Linked DNA regions of Neurospora crassa OR74A. The protein of the gene in region 2 binds, or shares a complex with, the protein of the main gene of each other region. Links are inferred from orthologs where the notes say so. Each region holds a gene or a part of one and is shown on either strand. Other genes may lie near its edges.

Region 1 (3,554 bases), on a different chromosome or scaffold from region 2:
AGCCAGAAGAAGAAGAAGAAGAAAAAGAAGAAAATGAAACACAGAAATGAAGAAAAAAGTTGAAGCAGGTCGTGATGTTGACAACGACAAAGTTTGGTCTCTCCCGCTCGAGGAAAGAAAAGTCAAGATGCATCAATGATGACGCCGCGGCGGGCAGAGTGGGTGGAGGGCACGCGCCGACTCCAAAGCTGACACAATCCCGTTCGGGAGGGCTGCATACAGTGGCTTCAGTGGACGGTTCCCGCTGTGGAAGCTGGGCATGGTGATTAGGGGCATTAGACTGGTCCGTGCATACTCCACTTTCTTTAAGCCGAAGGTATCGAAAGTCACCCGTGTAATTACCGTAATTACAAGACATATGGTCGGCATATGGTTGACATATGTCAATATTAACGATTCACATTCACATGCGGGGGCCTCTCACCGGCCCCCTGCACCCCCGGAGCTAACCCTAACCCTAACTAACCCTAACTAACCCTAACTAACCCTAACACTAATTGGTAATTTGCAGAGAAGTCGGGTATTGACGGCTGTTTTCGGACGTAATTACAAGCTGGTATGGAGAAGGTACCAAAAGCGACCTGGCACGTGATCAGACCCATATTTTCTAATGCCCCCATTCACCGTCCCCGTGGAAGCTGCCCTGGAAGGAATGGCCGGGGACCGCCCAGGACCGGGACTTGACCGGGGTCAGCTTGCGGGATTGACATGTCACTGGCCAATGGCTGTTCTTCCGACTGCCAGGTACGGGACAGCAAGTCTTCGAGATCCGTCGTTTGGACCATGTCAACACGCAGCCAAGTGATATTTACTTTATAAAGCCCATCTTCGAACTACGATGGATCGCAAAAGCAGGAACACGTCAATCAAGGGAGTTTCATGATTCACCTGCGTTGTCAGCAAGTGGAGTGCTGGCCGCATGTGGGAATCCACTCCCGTAGGTGAGACCTGTATGATGTACAAGGACCCAAATAGAACTGATCCGAGGAGCAAGACGCTGGACTGACAATACGCGGATGATAATAATACAACACAAAGCACAGAGCCATGAACGGGCCCAGTACCTATCATACAACAACGAGGAAGAGCGCAACAACGAGTCTCGGAAAAACCGCCATCCCAGGCAATGTTCGTGTTCATTAGAAGAGCTTCTCCGACGCCACATCCCCGGTCTTGCTGGCCTTGACCTTGTCGGCCCTGACCACCTTGACCTTCTCGCCGCCCGTCGGTACCTTGAAGTACAAACTGGGCGACTCGCCAGGCGCAAGCTGGTGGCTGAGGTAGCCCCTATGCGCCGGGTCTCTGTAGTACTCAATATCCCAACGGCTGGTCGGGTCCGGCAGGCGGTAGTACTTCTTCTTGAGCGATCGCGCCTGCGCCAGGATCTCCTCCACGTGCTCCTTGCCCACCGGCAGCGGCTTGTCGGTATGAAGAGACTTGCCCTCTACCAGACGCTTGAGCGATTCCTTGGTGTAGAATCGGGTGACGATCTTGCCGCCGGCAGCCTCGATGGCCTCAATGGCGGAGGCGGACGCGCGCGATACGGTGATGGTGACGGGGATCTTGAAGCTCTCCTTGCCGCGGCCGAGAAGCTTGATGCCGTCCTTGATGCTGCTGCCAATGATGCCGGACTTGATGATCTCCTTGGGGGTAATGGGCTTCGTGGGGTCGATACGGCCGGCTTCGATCCATTCCTGAAGCTTTTCGAGGTTAAGCTCGGACATGTCGGCAGCGAACCTATGAAAGACACAAATGGTTAGTCTCCATCATGTATCTGGTAGGTATAGGTTATCGGATAGCATGCTGGAGAGTTCTTGGCCATGGCGCATAGCAAGCGAGGTAGGGAAGTCGGGACGGCATACTGGTTAACGAAACCCTTGCGGCCGTGAGAGACGATCAAGGGCGTCTGACCACCCTGGAACCATGGCTTAACATGACCGTGGGCCTTCTGACCCTTGGTACCGCGACCGGCAGTCTTGCCATAGCCGGACGAAGGACCGCGACCCTTGCGAATGCGCTTGTGGTAGGCGCCCCGGTTGTCGGACAGGCTGGCGAGGATGGATGCGCTCCTGGTCTGGACGGAGAGGGCAGCAAAGAGCGAAATGAGGGACGACGTCGGCGACGAGGCTGGGACCGAAGGGCGGGCTGTGAGGGAGGCCTGGCAGCATCGCGCCGCCTGGGCGAGCGGTAACCTGGGAGGCATGACGGAGGCGGAGGACACGGGAGTGGGTTGGGTCTGGGTCGGGCAGTCTTCCGGATTCCGTTCCTCACGGCAACGGCACTTCCCCGAAAACAAAAGTTCAGGACCCGCGCCCAGCCAAATTCCGACACCTGCGTCGCGGGGGTGGACCGTGCGCCCTCGTTGGTCTCGGTCAATTGCGAATGGGCGGCTGAGTCAGCAGCTGGTCCACATCCGACGTCCTTCGCCAAGGGACCGTGATGCTCCAAAATATCCATGTTCGATATCACTTACACGGGATATGCAAGAACATGTCAAAGGTTCAGTGCGGTGAAAGTCCCTAAGAGTGATTGTACCGCGGCTTAACAGGCTGAAGAACATCTGGTGCGAGTTTAGGGAATTTTTCCACCCAGTCGGAATGATCATAAATTGAGTGTCCCGAGGCCATTGGAGGTGCGTTGAGAAAATATTGTGCAAGTACAACTGTGGGATGCTTAAAGTATTGCCTTTGAGAGCAACGCAAAACAGGCAGCCAAGAGCAGCTCATACTAGAAACCTATTATAGATGGGTCTCAACTGCGACCTACGCTAGAATTACACAGAAGTCCTGAAGTAGGGCGTGTCGAAGGGGGTTCTGTGTCAGCCATGAGCCAATCGAGCTGGTGGGGTTCGGGAGTGTTGAGAATGGCATGAGTGACATACACGCTGGAATTGCCTGAATGTTACTTTGATTTACTGAAGGTGTTTGTATGGCTGATAGAAAGAATGTAATTGTTAAGCCTTCTTTGCTGTCGGATAACGTTTACTGCAGAACAGAGCAAGGGACAGCGTGCAGTCATTTCGCGGGATAAACATAACCGATCGTGATGGAACTTTCCAAGTCAAGCAGAGAAGCGCCGCTCCGAAATGGCTTTTCACTCAAGTCTGTCTGAATTTCAAGCATGGAATGTCAGTCCCAAGCCCAAACCACGCGCCAGGTACCTGCCACCGCTCCTGCCACCGGCAATCGGTCGGCACGCCCTTCACCGACGGGAACATCGGATGACAAGATCCCTTCCCGCCCAGGCCGCAAACCTCTAGTACCCTCTGCTGTAGCCTACAGGTATTATATAAGGTCGGGTTCCCTAACTGATCTCTCTGGCATAACGGAACTCTGTGATCTTTTGGCACAGTGGTTCCCGTTGATGAAAATGTGTGGCTTTTTCGTAGGTCTGCAGTTGGGGTATTGTCGTTCGTTCTACAAACTTACCTGGGCGACCGAGCTTTTTGCTCTTCATGTCAATTGGACAGCCTCTCAGGGCCTCAAAAATGTGGTCTCTCAATATTTGCTTTCTGTCTTGGGGCTGATAAATGGGTTTCTTTGCGAGCGGGAAAG
Region 2 (8,066 bases):
GTATGGGCCAGAACCCAAATGCTAGCCCGTGAACGCAGCTGCACCCAAACAAGCTTAAGGCAGCTGGTCAACGGGGCGGTCCTTGAGCTTGTCAAGTGGGATCTCGGCGTCAACAACGCCATAGAGAACAGCGTTCTTCTTGGCCCACTGCCGAGTAAGGATGGAGGCTGAGAAGATGTCAGAATAAGATTACGAGACAAGCAAGGCCGGTTGTTTGACATACCTTTGAGGAACTTCTTGCTGCCATACTTCTTGAAGAATGCTTCATGAATAACGGGACGGGCCAGATAGTCAACCATGAGATGGAATACAGGCTCGATCTCCTCCTCGGTATAGCCAGCATAGTAGGCGATAGTCTTGTCCTGTTATTATGAGTATTAGCCACAGGATGATATGGCGAGTATTATAAATCCATCTGTATAACTTACCCATTCTCCGCGGCCAAGGATCAATCGTGCCAAGTACATAGCAGCAGCAGCGACATGGCTGGGACGGTAAGGCATGAAGCGATGGTCCAGCAAGCTGATCTCCATCAGGTACTTGCCAAGGGTACGGGATTGAATATCGTAGTTGTCTGCCTTGGAGATGCGGCGGAGAAAGTTCATAGGGTTGGGGTAGCTAAGGTCGTAGTTGAGGGTCGATAGAATGAAACGCTCAGCACTGAGGATCTCAGCTTCAGTAAAGCCGTCATCTGCAACGTGGCGAAAGTTGGCAATATGGGGGGAGAGGACCTCCTCGTACTTGGAGGCAACAAACATTGCAGTGATACCCACGAGCTGAAGACGATCGAGCTGGACGACCTTTTCGCTCAAAAAACGATCGATGATGTTAACGGCAAGGAACAGCGTCTCGGGCAGCAGATGAAACCGAGTATGAACTTCAATGAGCCAGTCGATGAGAATGCCACGAGTCTTCCACTCGAGGTCGTCCTGGTGGCTCATGTACTGAGGGTTCGGCACTGATTTGCACTCGAGGTCGCGGAGGTACTCGAAAATTTCCGTCGCATACTCGGCAACCATAAGAGGATCCTCGAGGTCTTCAGTGTCAAGGTCCTTAACACCTGGCGGATACACTGACTGAACAGGGACGACATCGCGGACGACGGGAGCGGGGGGCTCGGCCATCGGCTTCACAGCCTTGGAGGGAGCATCGTTCTCCTTGGCCTCAGTCCTGGAAACCTTCTTCTTCTCGGGCTCTTCGACGTGGATCTTCTTGCGGGCCGGTTCATTTTCAACAGGTGCTGATTCCTTGATAGGGGCGAGCTTGGATGTGGACGGAGGAGGCTTGCGCTTGGCGGGAATGGTGCCAGCACCAGCACTGGGGCCGACCGTCTTGTTGGGCTCTTTGTTGGATAACGCACGGCGGGCAGTAGTCGCAGTACGGCTCGTAGCAGTTGTGGTCTTCTTCTGGATGCCACTCGGCTGGGCCGCCTTCGAAACTAGGCCGGGCTTCGCAATCGCTTTCTTCGTTCCCGCAACTTCAACCTTGGTGACATTGCTGACGTCGCCCAGTGCATTCCGCTTACCGACAGTGCGAGCGGCAGTGGCGGCGGTGGTTGTCGAAATCGTCGTCTTTTTGGTCTGCATGGTTTTCGCGGGCATGGACAATTCGTCGACATGGAGAGTGGCCGCCTTGGCCCTCGTCATACGTGTCGTGGTTGCTGTACTGTTCTCGTCATTTTCGTTCGCGAGTGAACGCGGGTTCCTCGTCCGCTGCAGGGTTGGGGTTGAGTTAGTACAAACATAGCATGGCTGTGGACAACCAATTGCATGATTGAACGACAATGCCAACTGTGCAGTAAAACTTACAAGATTCGGCATTCTCGCCTAAACCTATGCTGGCACAGAAATTGATGTGAAATGTGTCTACTGACGGGGAGGTCAGCTAGCTATTTGGATGTTTCGTTTTTGGCGAAGTTCGAGGTGGAGAGACTGGTTCTTATTGAAAGACCGATCCCTGTCACGGAGGGAGGGTTGACGCGAACGACGAGCGAACGACGAGGGAATTGTGAACACGGACAGTCAATGAGACTAGACGCACCGACTACAGAGCCCAAAGATGTCGGGAAGAATGAACACCGGCGGTCGGCAGTGATGTCGCTGTCGGCACGTTGTTGAAGCCGGAGATCAACCCTGGGTCCCGCAACAGAAGGTTGGCTGAGACCGTGAAGGATGTGCTGTTGTTGATCGGGAATGTTGCCCAATTGGTGACGACGGTCGGGGCAAAGCACGCAATGGCGACGTCCGGAAAGATTGACTGATCGAGGCCAAGGGTTGCCGTCGTGATGGCAAGGCCTTGCGAGTCCAGGTGATGCGGAGTGGGAATGCTAGTTGGCGGACGGGAAAGGGAGGTATGATGTTTACGAGGCAGAGAAGAATGGGAGTCTTGTTTTTGCGAGGTCTTGGTGGAGGTGCCAGTGCCAGTGCAGCCCAGTGGATGGGGCTGGAGTGCCAGTGGACGGAGCGGGCGTGTGGACACCCACCCAGGTACCGGATCGGACGTGCTGGGACTGGGGCAAAGTACCTCTAGTGCCCTTCGAGGTCACTAGTGCAGCGAGGCTTTGAAGCTTTGAAGTCCAAGACACCGGAAAGGGAACAAAATTACCACAACAAGTGATGACGCGCCGTGCAATATGGGCTTCTGTCAGACGCACGTCTTGCTGTTCCCTGCCTTGCTAAGTTGTCGAATGATGAGGATGCCGTTGTCGAATAAGCAAGTCGAAAAGGTTGTACTGCCGAAGAAATGCAGGCTTCAATGGCCGGAGTCGAAAGTTGCTGTTGTTGCTGTAGCTGAAAGTCGATTGTCGTGCGTCCAGGGAAATGGTTGTTAGTCGGATGGTGAGTGTCGAGTTGCAGAATCCGGAGTCGAGAAAGCGGCCAGGAAATTGTACTTGGGCCGGGCGCTGTTATGGAGCACTGCAAGCAGAAGGGACAAAGAAGGGTCGCACCTCAAACACGCAGTGAAGGAACTGAAGGCGGCAAGGCCACCACAGGCCACGTCCCTCCCTTGCTGTCATCCGCCCGCCGTCAGGGCAACACTGGCAACCGCAGGGCAATTCGGTCAAATCAGCTTCTGATTGGTTTAAACTGTCCAACAGGCTGCGCGTGTCCAGCAGCTGTCAACACTAAGGTACCTTACCTATCCTGGGTCAGACGCGACTGGAACCTTGGGCGGGCAGGAATGGAGCACGATGCACGCTCTTTCCCCGCGCCGCACTGCACCTTCACGCGGTGATGACTTGGTGCCTTCCTCCCGCGCCCGCGTTTTGGAGCGCTGTTTGCAGCACTTGTCCCCTGGAAAGAAACAAGGCTCTTCACCAAAGGGCAGTGGCTGCACCACACAAGCCACACTATTAGCAGCCACAATCGTCAGGGATCGCAAACCAATGCACGGCTGTGATTGGCGCATCAGCCGAGCAATTTTCCACAAGCAGTTATCGACGACAAGCCGGCGACGAGAACCTCGACGAGCAGCCTGCGAGGACGTCGCATTCCGGTTGCTGGAAATCGCAGCAACTGTCCCCTCCAGCACCCTCACCTCCCCAGAGCTCACCGCCAGGAGCTTGGGATATCCGACAGCGATCGAGCAGCCATGCTGCAGCCTCAATTCCGACCCCTCCTTGCGGGGACAGCTTCCTTTGCCCAAACCGTGCTGGGCCGCACCGTCGCCAGATGCTATGCCACCAAGGCCGCCACACAATCAGCAAGCAGCACCAGCACCAGCAACACCAGCAAAGATGCCAAAGCCAAGATCGTCACTCCCTACGTCCGGGACGCCGGCATGATGAGAACCTACAAGCCGCACACGCCCGGTATCCGTCACTTGAAGCGCCCGATCAACGACCACCTGTGGAAGGGCCGGCCGTATCTTCCTCTTACCTTTCCCAAGAAGGGTCAATCTAAGGGTGGCCGTAATCACAGTGGTCGCGTCACCGTCAGACATCGCGGTGGTGGTCACAAGCGAAGAATCCGCATGGTCGACTTTGAACGATGGATCCCCGGTCCGCACACAGTCCTGCGCATTGAGTACGATCCCGGTCGCAGCGCGCACATTGCGCTGGTGAAGGAAGAGGCCACAGGGAGGAAGAGCTATATTGTTGCGGCGGATGGTATGAGGGCTGGAGACGTTGTGCAGAGCTACCGGTCCGGTCTTCCCCAGGACCTGCTCGATTCTATGGGTGGTGTCGTTGATCCTGGTATTCTGGCTGCGAGGACATGCTGGAGAGGCAACTGCTTGCCTGTGTCCATGATTCCGGTTGGAACCCAGATCTATTGCGTTGGCTCCCGTCCGGATGGCAAGGCTGTTTTCTGCCGCAGTGCCGGAACATATGCAACCATTATTTCCAAAGAGGAGGAGACCCGTGAGGATGGTACAAAGGTTATGACGGGCAAGTTCGTCAACGTAAGACTGCAGAGCGGAGAAATCAGAAGGGTCAGCAAGGACGCTTGCGCCACCGTTGGTATTGCCAGCAACATTATGCATCACTACAGACAACTGGGCAAGGCCGGTAGAAGCCGTTGGCTCAACATTAGGCCTACTGTGAGAGGTTTGGCGATGAACGCAAGTGAGTAGACTCCCAGAACAATCCGTTTGTCAAGCGAGCAAAACCAACTAACGGCCTGGTAGATGACCATCCTCACGGTGGTGGTCGTGGTAAGTCGAAGGGTAATAGGCACCCTGTTTCTCCTTGGGGTACACCTGTAAGTCATGCCCCTTTATTTCCTTCCTTCCTCTGAACAGACGCCTTACCCTCTTTTTCTGTAGGCCAAAGGTGGTTACAAGACTCGCAGAAAGTCCAACGTCAACAAGTGGGTGGTTACCCCCCGGGTCCGCAACATGGGAGTCCGGAGGAACAAGAAGACTACATGAATAAAATAACCCACTGTGCTCAACTTGGGCTATATACCCACCATCTTGTACAATATGTAGTGAAACTTATTCATTTGCTCGCAGGCCGGCAGTTCGAGGGCTCAGTATATCACCGGAAGGATGCCATGTGTGGGTATTGGGCCCAATAACATCGTCTGTTGGAGATCTGCCGTGTTTGTCTTTGTTTTCCACTTTCAACTGAGCAACTCTACGGCGATGTGGTTCAGGGCCCGGCCAAGGCCGTGACTGTGCCTATAAATCGGCATACGACTTCAGGAATGTACCAAAGACTACACATGGGGTTTGTTAGACTCCGTTGTCATATACCGACCCCAACTTAACAAATTTTTTATTGATTTATTTACTTATAAAATTTGTTTAATTTTCCTAAAAAAATTAAAAAATTTTTTTTTCCCTTTTTTTTTTTTTTTTTTTTTTTTTTTTTTTTTTTTTTTTTTTTTTTTTTGCGTTGATTATAGACAACAGACTACAATGAAAGAAACTGAAGGCGTTTGGTCATTGGAGTCGGTCGAGTTGTCCAATCACATTTTGCGTTCATCTCTTCTGCAAGGAGCAGAATAACAATGCCGTCCCCCTTCGCCCTTTCAGATCTGCTACCGGTTCTGTGAACGCCATCCTGAAAAAAAAAAAAAAATAGGGGCGTAAATAGCCGCGTGGGTAGACCTGAGCGCAGCGAGATTTATATGCATTCCAGCGGTGGTATCTTTACAGTGGTTGACTGTGTAAGGGCATATCACGACAGCGTCTCGGTATGCGCCCGCAATTCGGCCATACATACAACGCCATGAAGGAACGAGGGTCGACAAAAGGCAAGCATAGTCTCATCTCCATAGAGGTATACCACAAGATCAACGGGGGTGATGAGTACACTATTTGAAGCGTCTCTTCGGTGGTTTGGGCAGAGTTTAAGGTTTACGCCATTCTTTTAGTGTACATACTATTTCACAACGTTTCGCTCGTTCAGGGCAGTCCCCTTTGTACTTCTGGAGATTGAATGGGATCGATGGAATCGGTAGTTGTACATTAACTAGTAAGGAAAACTGAGTGCGCCACCATGTCTGGTACCTCACGACCCCGACAGGTCGGCACAATAAATATATACCTAGGTACCTAGGGTACATCGTACTTCTCTGCGGTGCTTCTCACCCTACACTAAATGAGTTAAGATGCACTAACATGGAAAAGCTGGGGAGTAGGTAGGTACCTATGGTTGCCCCCATACATACCTCATCCATGTCGGGTAGCGTTAGAGGTACGCGGGACTGGGGTTCCACTTGGCTAGGGGCCACTGCCTAAACCACCCCCCTGAATGATCTAGATTTCCAGGTTGTTACAAGATCGTTGGTTTCGGTTGTAACCTCAACCGGCATGCCACCGAGGAAGCTGCCATTCTCTTGTTTCCCATCCGCTCTTGACCGAATAACTCGTTCACCCTCGATAATCTCGTTTTCACATTGGTTTTCTTCTCTTCGCTTCATTTAAACTTGGTTATAACTGTTCTCATTCTTTCTGAGCCGCCGTTACGGGACTCACTGCATCGCCGCTGGGAGTACTTATTGTCGACCTGTCAACTGACTTCAAGCAGATGGGAGGAGTGCGGACTGCGGGGACCAAGCAAAAATGTATGTAGTGTACCTAGTGCAGAAACAGGCATGGGGAATCTATGTTAGCGTTACACGTGCGGTCTTAGAAAGAGGCTTAGACGTCTTGGGTAGGAAATCGTGGACGCTGATCGCTGGGTGAAACTCATTTTCTGTCAGACCGACAGGTTCGATACAAGAATGAACTGTTCAACCTCTGCCGTGCTCTGCACACTCATTACATGCACGCGCCAGGTCTCCGGCTTCACGTACATACTGCGTACTCCCGTCACGACATCTTTGTGCTAGTCCGGCTAGGTTGTAGGCTAGGTACTAGTACTTAGTTTCCCCAAAATATCATCTCGGTTCCCAACCACTGCAGCCCATAGGTTTGTATTAGCCTGGTCACACCTCTTGTCGCTTCACCCTTACATTCAGCTGCGGCTTGCGCCTATTGAAACATCCTCCTATTACCTACCCACGCTACTCTTTCCGGCTGGCAAACGCGACCAGGCGGACTGCTAAACGGACTGGACGCAATCTGACCCAAACTTGCGCTTCCGATCTCTCATCTTGCCGTCCCTTTTTTGCTCGAGGTTCTCTCTCCCATCCGACCACCCCTCGGATTCTCCTTAGGTCCTCATGCCCGACGATTCAGAAGACCTCCTCATCCCTCCAGCACATGCTCGCTCGATTTCACCATCGCATACCGGCTATACACCACCAACTTCGACGACGCTGATGATGGACAATCTCAGGCACACCCGAGCTGGTGGGCTAAAGAGGAAGAGAGGAGGATGGGTGGTGGTAGTCTCGTATGTCTTTGACTGGGTCATTATTGCTGTTGCCGGAGTCATTGGCTATATTTTTGGGGCTAAAACCCCAAACAAGAGACCTTTCTCACTTTACGATCCCAATATCTCGTATGTGAAATCAAACAGTTTTTCCTGACAGTTTCTGCTTGATCCATTCAATGGATGTGATGCTAAGAGGTACAAACTCTCCAGATTCCCCTTTACAGTAAAGGAAACTGTGCCCGTCTGGCTGGCAACATGCATCAGCGTGATCGCCCCCATCTTCTTCATTGCCGTCATCTCGCTGATATTCGTCCCTGGCGCTACCGTACCTCGGGGCACGCCGAAGGCCTTGATTTGGAAGCGAAAGCTATGGGAACTGCATATCGGCTGGCTGGGGTTGGCTCTGTCGATAGCGTCAGCCTGGCTGATCACGAATGGCATGAAGAACCTTTACGGAAAGCCGCGACCGGATCTTCTTTCGAGATGCCAGCCCGATCTCGCCAATGTCGCCAAGTATATCGTTGGAGGTTATGCTAATACCAGCATGAATGGGCACCTGGTCAGCGCAAATATCTGCATGAATCCAGACAAGGCCAAGCTGGATGATGGGTTCAGGAGTTACCCCAGCGGTCACTCCAGCTCCGCAGCAGCTGGTGAGGACCGACCAGTTCCTACCTAAAGCAGACACTGCTTGGTAGTTGAGAACATGATTTACTGATTAACTGACATTCCACCAGGTCTCATCTATCTCTCACTTTTCATCGCCAGCAAGTTCGCCATCACAATTCCCTTCCTCGCC

What was found. Proteins that work in one complex are often made in the same cells at the same time.
Region 1: NCU02757 (region 2) and NCU05714 share a complex: the UniProt entries of both Schizosaccharomyces pombe proteins name them as parts of the mitochondrial large ribosomal subunit. The link is inferred for Neurospora crassa OR74A from reciprocal best matches to the Schizosaccharomyces pombe genes rml2 and mrpl10.

The regions. Positions count from the first base shown.
Region 1 is NC_026503.1:604,512-608,065, reverse strand, and holds NCU05714 (mitochondrial 54S ribosomal protein YmL10/YmL18), read right to left. Parts: upstream 2,329-3,554; 5' UTR 2,204-2,328; coding exon 1,863-2,203; intron 1,738-1,862; coding exon 1,140-1,737; 3' UTR 501-1,139; downstream 1-500. UniProt on the Schizosaccharomyces pombe protein: Component of the mitochondrial ribosome (mitoribosome), a dedicated translation machinery responsible for the synthesis of mitochondrial genome-encoded proteins, including at least some of the essential transmembrane subunits of the mitochondrial respiratory chain.
Region 2 is NC_026501.1:3,453,089-3,461,154, reverse strand, and holds NCU02757 (mitochondrial 54S ribosomal protein RML2), read left to right. Parts: upstream 1-3,207; 5' UTR 3,208-3,591; coding exon 3,592-4,564; intron 4,565-4,626; coding exon 4,627-4,700; intron 4,701-4,764; coding exon 4,765-4,869; 3' UTR 4,870-5,238; downstream 5,239-8,066. Other genes in the region: NCU02758 (G2/mitotic-specific cyclin-B), read right to left, coding at 55-167, 224-362, 429-1,712, 1,809-1,820; NCU02755 (PAP2 domain-containing protein), read left to right, coding at 7,113-7,393, 7,478-7,920, 8,005-8,066. UniProt on the Schizosaccharomyces pombe protein: Component of the mitochondrial ribosome (mitoribosome), a dedicated translation machinery responsible for the synthesis of mitochondrial genome-encoded proteins, including at least some of the essential transmembrane subunits of the mitochondrial respiratory chain.